Linked DNA regions of Neodiprion lecontei. Each later gene encodes a partner of the first gene's protein in a complex. Links are inferred from orthologs where the notes say so. Each region holds a gene or a part of one and is shown in the gene's direction. Other genes may lie near its edges. The genes, in order: ras-related protein Rab-7a, PDZ domain-containing protein 8 and run domain Beclin-1-interacting and cysteine-rich domain-containing protein.

What was found.
Region 2: the proteins of ras-related protein Rab-7a (region 1) and PDZ domain-containing protein 8 are in contact, whole or in part, in a crystal structure (PDB 7F6J), measured with the Homo sapiens proteins. The link is inferred for Neodiprion lecontei from reciprocal best matches to the Homo sapiens genes RAB7A and PDZD8. Residues at the interface, in NP_004628.4 of Homo sapiens: Lys10, Leu14, Asp16, Ser17, Lys38, Ile41, Gly42, Ala43, Asp44, Phe45, Gln60, Trp62, Gly66, Glu68, Arg69, Phe70, Gln71, Ser72, Leu73, Gly74, Val75, Ala76, Phe77, Tyr78, Arg79, Thr98, Ser101, Trp102, Glu105, Phe106; in NP_776152.1 of Homo sapiens: Ile999, Lys1000, Leu1001, Val1002, Arg1003, Lys1004, Glu1005, Gly1007, Leu1008, Asp1009, Asp1010, Phe1013, Ile1014, Lys1017, Gln1044, Leu1051, Asn1054, Asn1055, Val1058, Leu1077, Leu1084, Gln1085, Thr1088, Ile1092.
Region 3: the proteins of ras-related protein Rab-7a (region 1) and run domain Beclin-1-interacting and cysteine-rich domain-containing protein are in contact, whole or in part, in a crystal structure (PDB 6WCW), measured with the Homo sapiens proteins. The link is inferred for Neodiprion lecontei from reciprocal best matches to the Homo sapiens genes RAB7A and RUBCN. Residues at the interface, in NP_004628.4 of Homo sapiens: Ile41, Gly42, Ala43, Asp44, Trp62, Gln71, Ser72, Leu73, Gly74, Val75, Ala76, Phe77, Arg79, Ser101, Asp104, Glu105, Ile108, Gln109, Ser111; in NP_055502.1 of Homo sapiens: His818, Asn821, Met822, Lys824, Thr825, Arg827, Leu883, Gln885, Ala886, Lys887, Gly888, Phe889, Ile890, Glu892, Gln895, Glu897, Ile900, Pro903, Cys915, Lys916, Arg931, Arg934, Arg938.

What each region holds. Positions count from the first base shown.
Region 1 is NC_060262.1:7,443,910-7,449,035, forward strand, and holds the start of ras-related protein Rab-7a, read left to right. Parts: upstream 1-1,987; 5' UTR 1,988-2,137; intron 2,138-4,349; 5' UTR 4,350-4,376; coding exon 4,377-4,556; intron 4,557-5,126.
Region 2 is NC_060261.1:25,378,702-25,383,877, reverse strand, and holds the start of PDZ domain-containing protein 8, read left to right. Parts: upstream 1-1,934; 5' UTR 1,935-2,469; coding exon 2,470-2,871; intron 2,872-5,176. UniProt on the Homo sapiens protein: Molecular tethering protein that connects endoplasmic reticulum and mitochondria membranes. PDZD8-dependent endoplasmic reticulum-mitochondria membrane tethering is essential for endoplasmic reticulum-mitochondria Ca(2+) transfer.
Region 3 is NC_060261.1:33,971,670-33,976,724, reverse strand, and holds the start of run domain Beclin-1-interacting and cysteine-rich domain-containing protein, read left to right. Parts: upstream 1-1,836; 5' UTR 1,837-2,057; coding exon 2,058-2,246; intron 2,247-2,370; coding exon 2,371-2,522; intron 2,523-4,021; coding exon 4,022-4,205; intron 4,206-4,366; coding exon 4,367-5,055. Other genes in the region: tRNA-dihydrouridine(20) synthase [NAD(P)+]-like, read left to right, coding at 1-614, 704-1,030, 1,110-1,218.

The sequences.
Region 1 (5,126 bases):
TTCTTATTTCTATTTTAGTTAAATCAACACTAAACATACCTATATGGAATAAATGTGTAACATGTAGGATTTGTGATAAATGAAAACTAAAAAGCTAAAAATTACAAGTTACAAAATTACATTTATAAGGAGTAAATTGTGAGTTAAAAGTCACAAAATTGTATGTCATATTGATAATACTGATCCAAATCATTAAAAAGAAAAATCTTTTAAGTAAGAAAATAACATTTTTTGTTTGCGTTTCGTTTCAAAATATAATAATTGCAACGTGAACGAATTGTTCGCGGGCAAAAAAATTTATAATTATTATTCGGTACACGTTTAATTTGTGATGTTACCCATTCGTATTATTAGACGTAATTATTCTCACTGTACATATATATGTATCTGTATCTATCAAACTATATACGGTAGAAGATAAACTCGATTTATTTTATGTACGTGTTTTCTACGAGATGTACAAGTTTTTGAACACAATTAAAATGAAACATGCTTCAAAATAATTGTCTCACTTATGTGCCATTTTAATACAGTTAAAATATTTCCCGAAATCTTGCGAATATCAAATCCAAATGATTCCAGTTCCACTTTTTCCTTATCAAATATCCCGTCAAGGCTCAAATTCAATTCGTAGACGATTCCTTTCAGGTTAAAAACTAAAGATATAGTAGTAATGACATATTTCCGGTTTAGCGATTTATGTACTTGATTCCGTGTGCTGAAATAAGAATATTCCCCCAAAAATCACATTGAGTGTTCAAAAAGATTCCAATCACATACCGTTACCAAGTACGTCATGTTTGTTGATTCATAATAAAACCATGATTGAAACTTAGTCTAGACATTTCTCTGGAAAAACACTGCTGCCACACTTGGGTCAGACTGACTCTAAATTTATCCAATTACAAATGATAATTGGGTATGAATAAAAAACAAAATAACTCATACATTGATAAAATCCAGAAAAAAAATTGAATTAGTAAAAAAAGAAAAAAGTGAAAGATGGCGGGCCTCTTTCAATGCATGATGCATACATGAAACGATGACGATAGAATTTGAATTTATTCTTCAGGGTATGTTTCTAAAATTTACTCAAATATATATAATATGTGTTTATATATTCAAGACCCATATTAGTGAGATGTGCGCAATATATCTGCAATATATTAATTTAATAAATGTGAAAAATGAGAAAAAATTTTTAAAAGACAACGTGGTTATTCGTTCTGTCTGACTTTAGTCATTTGTTTGTTTTGTAAATTCGTTTCAAGACCATGCTGTTAGCAGCGCGCGACATGATTTCCTAGTAAGATGTTATGAACTCATTTTAAGGAAACTCATAGTTAGCTGAGTAAAGCATCAAAAGCGACATCTGGCATGACTGTTAGGAAACTAAAATTCATACCAATGTCAGGTAAGTATGTTCAATTACCATTGCCTGCAGGCATCACATTCACCCACAGCCATTCGCGTAGCATCTACAGAGATATTATAAATAAAGTAGGCAAGTGAACCATGCAATTGTCCAATCGAGAAAAAGAGAAAGAAAATTCAGCGACTTATCTATCATTTTCTACCAAGCATGCGCAGTGTGTTACTGCGCAGAGATAAAGGATAGCTATGATTCTGACGCATGCATAAATGCGTATGCAAACAAGGATAGAGGGATCACTCGATTTTCTTTTTCTTTCCATCCGATCTTTCGGCTTATGCTTATCCCTATACCTTGCCTAGTAAATCGTATATAATATCTCTATACGCTTATCGCGTGTCTGCATGAAATTCTCGTCATACTTTGTCTTGATCGACTGGAGATAACAAAGATATCTTCTCGCGCCGATGAGTTACCGCTATCCCCGCCACTCGCCTGGTTAAACAGAGACGGAGTCTCCGACAGAACAGGGTTGTCTTTATATTGACGGTCTCATCGCCGTCCAAGGAACGCGCAAAGTCTATGGACGGAGTGATCGAGGCATAGAGATCGTGGTTCGATTAATCGCAAGCTATCGAAACAGATAACGAGCGCCGTTGTCATTCTCTCATAGTCCAGTCCGCTCGTGATTCACAGTACGCCATTTTCTTAGTTTGTGAAGTGTCGAAGCAGACGGAATATCGCTGTTTTTAATTCAAGTAAAAGGTAACCGTCCCTCAGGCAATGACACTCGACCACGTTTAACCCATCCAGCATCTAACTCCCCGTCATCAACCCGAAATAAGCAACAATTCGTCGCATTTACTGCGTACAATTGACGTCGCGACGTCCTACTACGCATTGACAGGTCTATCACCACTATTATTGGTTGGATAGCATCAGCTTTGATTGCTATTACGCCTCAACTTTCACGGCTTCGATCTAACGTCGCTATTCGTCAGTCTAACCATTTATCCGATACGCGTTTACCTGGCCCCAAATCCCTGCGAGACAACAATACGTCAAAAATCTTATCAAACCTACTATGTACCTGCCTATCTGCATTACTCATACCTACTTGCGTGTCTCACGAAATACATATCACAAAGCGTTTCTCCTCACGCACATACGAATTTCGTATGCGTGCACACTCGATTGAATATTCGTCATTGTGGGGGAGAATCGTTTTGCTACTAAAGGACGTGTTAGCCCTCGTCCCTGAGTACAAGGAGAGAAACAAACAAAGAAGAAACTATCGGAGAAAAAAAATCACTTTGTCATTCTATTTTTTTTTTTCAAAAGTATCAACACACTTTCGATTCTTCTACACGTAGTTTTAACTCGCCCAAGCATAGGTACGTTATTTTTTACTCGTTTAGTTTTACTTATCTCAGGCATTGTAGATTCATTAAAAAAAAATTTAAACTGCTTTCCACCGTTTATTTAATTGAACGTGTTATTCGATTTACTTTCTCCGGATCATCCCAATCGTTGAATCATCGCATTCTTTGGTATCCTTTTACATATGAAACATCTAAAAATGTCCTTTATCCGATGTTGTTTTGTCGGAAGCAGCATTTTTATGTATCTTGCAAGTTTCAGCCTTTCACGGGCTATCCGCATCATTAGAGATTAATGCCAGGCGTGTGAGTTATGGAATAGGAAGTAATACAATATGAGGCATGTTGTTTGTCTGTATTTGAACTATCAAAGTCTGCCTCTTATCAGGTTTCTCATGACACACATACAGACAACTGTGTCGATCATTCAAATGGTATCCATTTTTCATAATATTTACTCCACCTGGCATCGCTGTCCACTCTGAATTCAGCCCGAATCACCTATTTTTCACCCGATTCTTTATTTATTGTCAGTTAATTCAATAACCGATTCTAAAATTTAATGATTTGATTCATTGTTTAACTCATTCTACAGCTGAATCTTTTCTCTTGCTTGCTTTGATTATTATGCGTTGTCCAATTTTAAAATCGAGGTCTATTACAGCGGATCGAGTTGACGAATAATGAATATAATCATGCCTTATTCAACAGCTGACAAGCTGAGGTTAGGGAAGCCCCCATATCACGATAAGTCAGGCAATCGAGTCACGGTTCAAAGATTAAAAAAGAAAACCATCGTATATAAATAATCTAGCACAAATTTCACTCTGAAGTATCATTCTAATCACGGCATCATCCCTTTCAGCTTTTTCTTTCATTTTTGCTATTCGCTGACCTAGAAAGTCGAATAAAAAGAAAAGCAAATGGAGGAAGGAAGCTCGAGGTAGTCAAACATTCTTCGATCTGTAACCTATGATGTAACTGTAAAAAAGAACTCGAGACTTTTTCGAATGAAATTTTCATCACACAGACTAATTATATCCCAATCTAGAGCTCTTTCAAACTGTGACGACTTAGAACAGTGAACATCCACTATTGCCTCGTATATTTATAAACAGACAAAGCAAATACAGTCGATATTACAAACTTCATACCTGAGTCGAACATTTCGTTTGAAATGCTGAATCTTCTTTGCGGAATTACCACCTTTATGAGAAATTGGGTTTTTTTGAACCGGTTAATGTACAATAAATCTCATTTTCTAATTTCACCGAATTAGAAAATCAAATGCATCCTCACGTAACAAGCACAGGTGGTAAAAAAATTATACCTCGGGCATAGCCAGATTAGTTTCCTTCAGAGTCTTCAAATTAAGCATTATTACAAAACAATTTTCTAGTCTGATGTTCTTCGTTGCTCCAGAAAAACTATTTTTTGTAACAGAAAATAACAGTGGGAACAGCGGCGCTCGACAGCTTTCAGGACAATATCGCTAAAGTTTTCTATTCAAGTAACTGCAGTTACGCGTTGAATTAAATCGCAAATATCTAATTTTCCATTAATTTGTTAGCTGTAACAGTTGTTTTTTTAAATTTCAGTTAATCTCACTACTGTAGTAGAGAGAAATGGCGTCGCGCAAGAAAACGCTTCTGAAAGTGATCATCCTCGGTGATTCCGGAGTGGGAAAGACCTCGTTAATGAATCAGTACGTTAATAAAAAGTTCAGTAACCAGTACAAGGCTACGATTGGCGCTGACTTTCTCACCAAGGAAGTTATGGTCGATGGCAGGATAGTCACTATGCAGGTAACCCTTGTCTATATTATTTACTTTATTAAATTTACGAAGAAGAAAGATCGAGGAAAGAATATTTGGATACACAGGGACAAGCAAAATGAAAAAGAGAAAATATACAGACCCGTTTGTTACTAGGAAAATTCGTATCTGATAATATTTTTCTCTGAACAAAAAAGGGAATACATTGCCCACTCAATCTTTCATTTCGTCGATTGATTTTTTCCATCAGTTAGATTTAATTAACAAGGAGAATATTTCGTTATAGAGGTTTTCTGTGAAAACTGGAGTCATTAAAAGTACAAAACAGGTATTTTCCTTCAAAATTTTGAAACACTTGTCTGTATTGTCGGAAGCTTCGACAATTAGCAATAATATTAAGGCAGAAAAACCCTAATCAACATGAAAAATATGAGCTCTGAATAGCGCGTATGAGATTGAAAATACTTCGTTTCAATCATTTATGAGTAATGAAACAGAAGACAAGATAAAATCTAAATTTATAGATATCGCAGCAAATGAAATGGAAGTTTGCAACGTTGATGTAACGATGCATTTTTAGGACATCTTGTTGTTTCGTGA
Region 2 (5,176 bases), on another chromosome or scaffold:
CGAAGATCCGAACATCCAAACTTTGGTAGCGAACTTTAATATTATGTATCATGTATGATGTATAATGATTTTAGTTTGTACATTTCAGACAAGAAATACGTACCTTATCTTTCCTGCCGATTCCAGACTCATAAACGGCTAGGCCCTCCGATGGTCAGTCGTTGACTAGAGATATATTCTTCAGTTAACGGGTCAGCGAATAACGCTGCCGTACTGCGACAGTTGGATAATAAAAATTTTTGCTCATACCTTGCGAATGTGTGTTAAAATACATTCGAAGTTTTAAGAAGCTTCGTTCTATCCCTCCCTATCAAAAAAAAAAAATCACCGACAATCACCTTTTTAGGTCTTTAAATCAGGACACTGCGTTAAATACTGTCTCATATACGGAGCATCCATTTCATCTTGATCAAAATTAACGTGTTCGTGATGTATTACAGTTACTCTGAATTTTTTTCCATGACAATACTTTTCGAAAAACAATTCCGCTTTTCTACCCAACGTAGATACTTCACATGCGACTAGCTAAAACAGCGTTTCGCTTCTGTGCCTACGAAAATTCAAGATCGAGAGAGCAAATGAAAAGTTGTAGGAATAATTATGAATATTAATGTTATAGAATACATAGAGGAGCAGGGGTACGAAGAGGACGAAGGTGGTCGGAGGTGGTCGGAGGTGGTTGGAGGTGTTCGGAAATGGGAGAAGGTGGTAGGCGCTGGTAGGAGGTAGTAGGGGGTGGTAGAAGGTAGTCGGAGATGGTAGGAGGTGGTTGACAGTGGTTGGAGGTGCTCGGAGGTTGATGCGGTGGTTGGCTGTGGACGCGGTTAGGCGTCTTCTCACGGGGATGATCGAGCTGATCGACATTTTTAAGTCGCAGTCGAAAAGTAGTCTTACGTACTCACTTTGTACCGACTCAATCTCAAGCTTCTATACCGACACTGTTTTGGCTGCTACAAATGTCGGTGCGAACCCGTTAGATAGAGTCGATAGACCAGAACCCTCCTAGGCTCCCAGGCCGACCTGGGCCCACTTGCCCGCCGAAAATTGGTCACAAAAATTTACCCAGGGCTATCCGTGTTTATACATATTCTTCAGTCAATGACGGAATAGTAGGACTACTACTCCGTGCCATGGTTGCAAGGATACTCAAGATTGACTAATCGATGATCTTACAATGTGATTCATAGAAAGTATTCTGTACTGCCTTATACTCCCTGTACTGTCTTCGGTGCATACGGATCACCAGTACCATCTTATTTCAGGCAGCTTCTTGTTTACATGGACTTCGTGCTCCTTGTGTAGTCTCCATCAGCTAAAGCTGTATGGTCATACGACACAATTGTGCATGACACAACTCATTAACAACAAATACTCATTGTTTATAAATAAGAGTTATCTGTTATCTATTGCAATTTTTCTTCGCACTGTTCTTCCATACCGGCCGAGTTATTTTTTTATCGTAATTTGGGCATTGATATCCTTAGCTCCGGGACTTTTTCAGGATTCTTGAAGGTGATAAGGAGTAAAATGATGTTTTTCAATACGATTATCGGTAGCCACCAAAAATACAAATGATCATGCAACATGTGCGCCATAAAAATAAACTATGCATTGACAATGATTTTATTAGCAAATCGTAGTTTTCTGTACCCTGTCCCTCGAGCATGTAGGTATGTATACACCGAGTCGAATACACAATGCTTCAAGACCCTGTCGTAATAATTGCATAAAAATAGGGCAGCAATGTATCATGTTATGCAATTGAACGAACGAGTGAAAACGTGACCGTGAAAATTGTATATCAACCATCAAAATTATCAATCCTATTGCAAGAATCAGTTAAAATTGAATTAATAAGTAGCTCGGCCGGTAAGGGTAGAAGCGTTGCATGTCGCGTAGTGTCTAGCCCCCCCCCCCCCCCCCCCCATCGTTGTGTATTACGATTCCATAAAGGCTTCGTTCAGCTGTCACGCGTCAGCTGAGAGAGAAGTGTCAATGTGGAGGAAGCCGCTGGAATCGATACAGAAATGTCAAAATTTAATTCTCACATAAAACGGCATGTGGCGACTGTTTTTTGTCACTTGATAAAACTAATTGTTCCACATAAAAAATGTTCACACCATTGAACCTAGTAGACAATTACATGTAGTTAAATTAGAAATGCGTGATTCAGAGTGAAAGTCTGACACTATTTATTAGCTTTACACCACCACACACTAGTTGTTGAAGTAATGAAATATCAATTATGAATCAGGTTGGGGTAAATCAATTCTTAAGTTTGTTCCAACACCTCCTACCAACCAAATGAAATAATGTTCATTAATTGAAGGTGAAAATACACCAAAGTATGATCGCATCACTATAAATATTGCGTACCTACGCATCTCCGCTTAGAAAAAGAAGAAATTACTTCTCTTTCTACGTCGATTATGTTTGATAAATTAAATTCAATCAATTTATTATAAAACAATGGACTTCTGGAGCATTGTAACACTCTTAATATTGTCATTTATATGCGGCGTAATATCGACGTTGGCTCTACAATGGTACATATTCATAAAATACTTGGAAGCGGCGCCGCTTGCCGATCCTCCCGAAAAACCGGCGCCTCATGGACGTGCAGTTTTGCCTGACGAACTTCTGAACGAGGTTGAAAACGAGAAATCAAACTTTCACAACAGCAGCTTTACTCCTAGGCAAAGTGTCTCCCAGGGCAACGAGAACTTGGCTATCAATTTGACGCTGCAATTCCTGTTCAACGAGCTCAGAAGCGCAGAACGGGTTCGCTCTTGGCTCTACAGGAAGCTTAACAATGAGTTCAAAGTACTGCTTACCAGGTCGACTACTGGCAAACTGTTCGACAGCGTTCAAGTGAGTCATATAATTAACTGGAACATGATGCTCGCTTTGATCTTCAATTGTTTTCATTCAACAATTTTGGCTATTGAGGACAAGTAGCGCAATAGAAGGAGTTGACTTCAACACATATTTTTTCACACTTTTCTATGTCAGAAAAAAGAGACTTGTATTTCGTCATTACACTGTATGAGAGTTTACTGTTGAGAAAAGAAATATTGGAAACTAGTTTTTAATTATTTTTGTAAAGCTGTCTGTATTTGGAGAATTTTCTCAGAAGATACTGGTCATTTCACTCAATTAGGGTATAGAAATTGAGACACTTCGTACAATTTTCTACGAAACATTGTTTTCATAAAAAATTGTAAATATGGCTAGTTTCTTATTAAAACTTGTATATTTTCGTGAAAATTAGCATTTTTTCAGTGAGAAATCTTCAAGCCACTACAGTTTTCAAAAAAATTAACCATTCTTGATGAAAAACTACGTATATGGAGCATCCCATGATACCTCGATTAAGATTCTACGTCGATGTCTCAGATTGGCTTTATAATTTTTTCTATGAAAGTTCATGACAAAAATCGCAATCGCAATTTTTTTCAGAATTTTGCGACTCAGTGTATCTGAAGTATGATTTAAACACTTTAAAAAAAACCCACTTTCTAAAACCTGAAGAAATTCAGAATAATCTTATAATGTGTCACAAAAATTTTGACACCTACCAGAAGATGGCCATTTCATAACTTTGAAAGATAAATAAGAAAAATGAAAAAATAAAATAAAATTATTATTATTGGATTGCATATTTTACATAAGAATGAACATAAAGCTCATTATAGTATGGTGGGCTAAAAAACATGTATTCAGAGAGGTATTATAATGAACTTTTGTGTTCATTCTTACGGCAAAAATGCAATCCAGTAATAATAATTTTTTTTTCATTTCTCTTATTTTTCTTTTGAAGTTATGAAATCTCCATCTTCTACTAGGTGTCAAAAATTTTGTTATATCGTATAAACTTTTTCTAAATTTTTGAAAATTTCAGAAAGTGGGGGCTTATTCAATTTTTAAATCATACTTTAGATACGCTGGGTCAAAAAATTCTGAAAAAAATTGCGATTGCGTTATTTGTCATGAACTTTCAGAGAAAAAATTATAAAGCCAATCTGAGACATCGATGTAAAATCTTGATCAAGATGTCATGTCAATGCCCCATATTTATTATTTTGTATGAAATAATACAGTTTAATATAGCCCAATTTCTGTAAATATTCGTAGTAGTAGAAATTTACACCAGGGAAACGATTCAATTGTTCCTGCTACTAGAAATCTATTCAGTTATTGATCCAATTACAAGAATATCCTCTGCAGTAAATATCAGCGCAGCTTTTGAATATTCAATTGTTTAACAATCAAATTTCACAATGCTCAAAGCCGACCAAACACTTTTGTGCCATTTATGGCTAGGTATTTATTTTACACCGAGTGGTTATGGTCAGAAATTTATTTATTTATTTATTAGAGATTAACTATGTAAAAATGTATATCCCACCCTTGTACATAGAAAAAGATATAATACAGTGTTGTAGTGTAATTTAGAAAAGAGTTATTCATACTTAAATAAAGATCTGGAGAGGTTTCTTATAGTATAAAAACTAGTGTTGTACGGATCAAATCAATTTTTATTCTCGTTACATAATCATGATAGACGGTCACTTACAGAGTATGATTTGATGTTCAAATTTATGTAGAAATAGTCATTGTTGTGTCGTAAAGTTCTGCTTGGAGTGAAAAAAAGAAACCTAGATAGCAACTCGGGTGGTCAATCACATTATTAAGAATTCAATAAGCAAAAATTAGATCAATTCTGTACATTTCTGAACAAACTGACGGTATTAGAAGAATTGAAGAAATATTTCAGTAATCTTAATCACTAAAATGCATTGGATTGCCGGACTTAAAAGCTACAAAACGCAAAAATAAGTAATATAATTTTTCAAGTTTGTAAATGTTTGGATACATATAGTATGAGGTGTCCAAATAATCGAACAGTACGTTAAAATTGGATACAGAAATGATGAATAATAAAGTGTTCTGAAAGTTTTTACATCATCAGAAACTTTAGAAAAACGTTTAATAAAGCTAATTTCTTTTGTAGCTCTCAAAACATAATCATCATCTTCGTTAAAATTTAAATTGCAGTTAAAATAGAAACCATGATCTTTTGCTTTAGAAACTTATTCAACCCTTTAATTCACGCTAGGATGATCAGAGTCCTAGCTTTTTTTTTCAGCTTTGTATTTAGTCAACTATTTTTTTG
Region 3 (5,055 bases), on another chromosome or scaffold:
GATGTAGCTGGTATCGACGTCAACATGGGATGTCCCAAAAAATTTTCAATTCTTGGCGGCATGGGAGCAGCGCTTCTTGAGCAACCAGAAATGGCCAAGGAAATTCTGAACAGACTAGTTAATGGATTAATGATTCCTGTCACGTGTAAGATCAGGATATTTCCAACGGTAGACAGAACTTATGCATTGTGCAAGGAACTAGTTTCAACGGGTATATCCGCGATCGCGATTCATGGAAGGACCAAAGATGAAAGACCACAACATGTAAATCACTGTCATATAATCAGAGAAGTTGCTAAACAATTGCCGATTCCAGTTATTGCAAATGGGGGGTCAAAGGAAATCGAAAAACATTCAGACATATTGAAATTCAAAGAAGAAACAGGCTGCAGTAGTGTGATGCTCGCTAGAGCTGCTGAATGGAATTGTTCAATATTTCGAAAAGAGGGTATACTCCCCATTGAAGATGTAATACAGTCTTATTTAAAATATGCTATTGACTACGACAATGCCCCATCAAATACAAAGTACTGTATACAAAATATTCTCCGAGAGTTACAGGAAACTCCAAAAGGAAAAGCGTTTCTAGAAGCTCAAACGCTTCAGCAGATTTGGTAAAATTTATACCAAGCATTAATTATCGTGGGTTCAATGATGTGAAGATTTCCTAGAAGAAGCAAATAATGATTCAACTTTTTTTCAGTTCTATCTGGGATATGGGAGATTATTGCAGGACTAAACGGAAAGAGTACTTAGACAGAGGCATTCAGGGTAGGTTTCAAGTGATCCCCACCTCTTTGGATCGACAAAAAGGAGTGAAGAGAAAATTTGAAGAGGATGATGTGGTTGTGATGCAGTGTGCTTTTATACGTAATAGCTACACTCATGATCTAGAGCTACCGAAGACGAGGCTTTTGAAATGGACCAAGGAAAACAGGACTAATTTCCCAGTCTATCATACCGAGCAAGAAGATAAATTATTTCGCTCAGTAGTATCAGTGAATGGAAAAAAATACAGTTCTTCATTTTGGTAAGAATCCAAATTGGGTGTAGAATTAATGCTACCCGTTTTGTCTTCAAACAGTAAAAAACATTATTTCATTTTTCAGGGAAAAAAACAAGAAATGGGCTGAGCAAGGAGCTGCACTAGTTTGTCTTTGCACTTTGGGGGCGATAGACATTGATAAGCTTGCAAAAGATGGAAGTATCATTAAGTGAATATGCTATTTAGTGAAGTAAATAGCTAAGTGAAACATTTCTAAACACATTAGATTTTCTGGAAACTAAAGAACAATAAATATAAATTAAGAAACAAATAAACTATTCAGTACAAAAATACAGAGTATTACAATTTGAAAATGTTTTAAATATAATGCCCTGTATACAGTATTGTATACCTACCGTGATACAGTTCGTCTATCCCGTCTATCTATAGGTTGAACATTGTTGAAGCATTGTACTTCGCGATGTGAAGCTAGCGCCAAGCTGTCCAAGCCAGACGAGCAAAGTGTATATCTACTACATAACTTTAGTTACCAGGAGTTTCGAAGCAGTCGGTCACATGGTTCCAAAGTTACACGTTGACCAAACTCTGCCTTACCGACCGTTGAAATTTGAACTGCGTTACGTTCCAATGTATAGACATTGGCCTCGTGAGAGGAGTGTTTACAAAATATGAGAGTTTTGCAGAATCATATTATTATACGAAAACCATTGAACAGAACCGGAAACTAGCTACTCAGAGGTCTTTGGATAGAGTGAGAGGTAATTACCACGTAACAAGGATTTTTTTTTTTGCAAATAAATAAGGATGTTATTCGATCGAAGTCGAGGGGGCGTGACTTTTTAACGATTGTGATACGTACGATCCGTGCCTCCCGCTTCCGGCTGTCAGATCAGAATTGTGCAGTGTGCACTGTGATTTATGATTCACTGTATAATTACGATATTATTTGAAACCGATAACATGAATCATGGCCTCTCCTTGAGTCCGATAATGTTTGCAAAATGATAATATAATCGCTATATTCCTCATTTGCCTTGTTACATGGAGAATCATGATGACATCTATGCAAGATCCACACATCAGGGAACACCAGCAGCTTCTACAGTACCTTCGATCTACTGTCGAAGGACTGTTAGTTAGTCAAGTCTCTAATGTCTGGAATGTGTACGGAGGTTTGAATCGACTCCATAAATGCATGGAAAGAATATTCAGGCATGGGAGTCGAGTCTTCGATTCAATGGTGAGAGTCACATGCTTCTCAAACACAAATTGCAACGTACATTACGCTGCGTAAAATGGTTGAAGTATGGAGTTAAACTTTCAATAAAAAAAGTAATTTACTTCTATTACTCTATCCTTGCAAGGGTGAACCGGATTGTTGGATTTTCATACAAGGGTTAAATTGGCTACAACCCTCTTTGGCTACATCCCCATCTGTCCATGAGTCTGACGATTATCTTTCAAATATACCGGTAAAGATAGGATCACGAAAAGATCTGTTGTGGCTGTATAAGAGGTACTTTCAGTTGTTTATTAAAAATAATTCCTGCATTCATTTTATTTATGTAACAATAAGTATAAATTGGCCAGTCCCTCCATGTATGTAGTGACTAAGAATATATCAGTAAATTTCAATATTTGAGTATATACAATGAATAGTTGTACAACACATGGTGGCCATTAGTCAGGGTAAACTGGGAAGTCAGTGAATTTTTAAATCAGTCTGACCATTTTGTGGCCGTATGAAAAGACAAGGAATAAATTTCCTTCACAAAAAAGCAAAATTCTAAGAATTGTTTGTATTGCTCGGTTTTGTAACCATTAAATAGATCACAAGGGTATTTTGAATACCGATTGATTCGGAGCTGTATTTATTAGATACATGAATAATTGGCACTATTGGTTCTAATTTCGATCAAGGGAAAAAATATATTTTGGTCAGGGAATTTGATATACTATTTTTAGTGGCTACCATGTTATAACAAGCTTTTGTTTTGGAATTAAACATTATTGAAAATTCTCAGAGAATGGCCGTCTGAGAACGTATTCTTCAGTACAGAGAAGACTCTCATATTTGGATATTTAAGGGGTTGCATGGGTTTCAAAGGTAGAAGAAAAGGATATTTGCTCGTATTCAAAAAAAAATATAAGTGAAAGACTATTTGATTCAAGCTTAAGGCATATGAAAGAACAATATTTAAACGATATTTCATAAAATTTGCATTCAAAAATTTAGCTGTTCAGAACTGAATTTTGGAGACCCAGTGATCTTGCGGTGGTCACGATAACCCATGCTAGCTTTATTTGAAATCTAAACACCAAATATTTTCTGTTAATAGGTGAGTATAGCTAGTGAATGATAAAAGGATTTTTTCTAATTGAAATTTGAATTTTTGGCTAAGCTTTTTGCAAAAAAGTACGCTTTTCGGTAGACTTTACATAACATATTGCTTTGTAAAATAAGTTATGACTGAAGAAAAAAAAATTCTTCATGCGTTCACTAGTCAGTCCTATCTAGAAGAAGTGTGCAAAATTTCTATAAGATCGGTGCATTTGTTTTTGAGAGATCACGGCCACTGACTTCAAAAGTTTTGTTTTGAAGAAAGAACGATATACCTGCGATGCTCTTGGCCGGTCTAGCCTAATGAGAGGAATTTCCGAAGGCTCTCTCCCCTAGCCGTTTACTTCAATTGACTTGAAACTTTGGGAAAATATTTTTGACATGTTGTACTATTAGGTGAAAAAAATGTTAAAAATGGATTTTTTGAAATTTCCAAACCCATGTAACCTCTGAAACAATATTGGCACATGCAATCTTGGTATATACATATTTCATGGTATATTTATCTTATTATTATGCAATGGTACAATGATTACTATCTAATCTAGCACCAGGTATGTGATATAATGTTCACAGCTTAGACATGTGAACTTTACTGATTAATTTGATATTGATATCTGCTCAATAGAATCATCATTTGATAGAATTCAGAAGCTTCTGATGTCTTTTTCTAGTTTGGAAAGTCATTCCCTCTCTCAGAAGCTTTCTTGGCTTTTATCGGACAAGGAGCACTTGTTGTCCTGCCTTGAACCTTGGGCTTTCTTGTGCCAGGAAAGTCTTGCAGAAGCTACTCTTATCTGTCTAAGAGCTGTCGAAAAGAATCAGCCCTCTCTTTTAACGGAAATTGATCCATGCTTGGTAAGTCTATCTACCTGAGCCTTACTATTACTGCCAAACTATAAAATATTTGATACCTTCAAGACCATTCCTTATTTCTTGTAGTATGCTAGGTATATTATTAACTTCGTCTCATGCTTGTTAATATTTATATGATGAAATTTTGCTATATATAATTACAGTTTCTTCCAAATTGGGATTTGGGTAAAAATAGTCCGAATAGGCATCGCAGATCATCATCTTATCCCACAAATCTATCTTATAAAAAGTGGGGTATTGTAAATATAGAGAATACAAATAGCTATGAAAAGTATCATACAGGTATAGCTGGGAGTACGGCGCAATCAAATTTGAATGATAGAAAGATTTCAGAGAATCCAAGCAGTATTATGAAGGAGAGGAAATGTAAAATAAATTCTGAGCCAGTGATAACAAAAACTGATATTGACTTCTCTCTGAAAGTGTGGAGTAGTCTTCCTACATTAAACGAAAATCATGAAAACCTTCACAATTTAACTATACCTCAGCCCACGAGTCCAGCCAAGTTTTTTATTGGTACAAACAGAACATCATACAGTTGTAGCACTGACTCGTATAAATTATCAAATGTAATCAAAGTTGATTATACTGAAGTCCAGTCTAAGGGTACAACATCAAACGTAGACGGAAAAGTTTTTAAAAAGAATAGCCCGGTAAGAAAGTCTCGCAAGAAAGTAAAAATCTTGCATGATAAGCAGTTAGATATGAAGTCAAGTGACGGGAGTTCAGATACTTTGAATTATGACGACAATATTGTGAAAAGTGTAACTGAAGCATTACCTAAGTCGCCTAAGAAACCTGTAGAGTTCAAGTTGAAGAATCTTACCAGCAA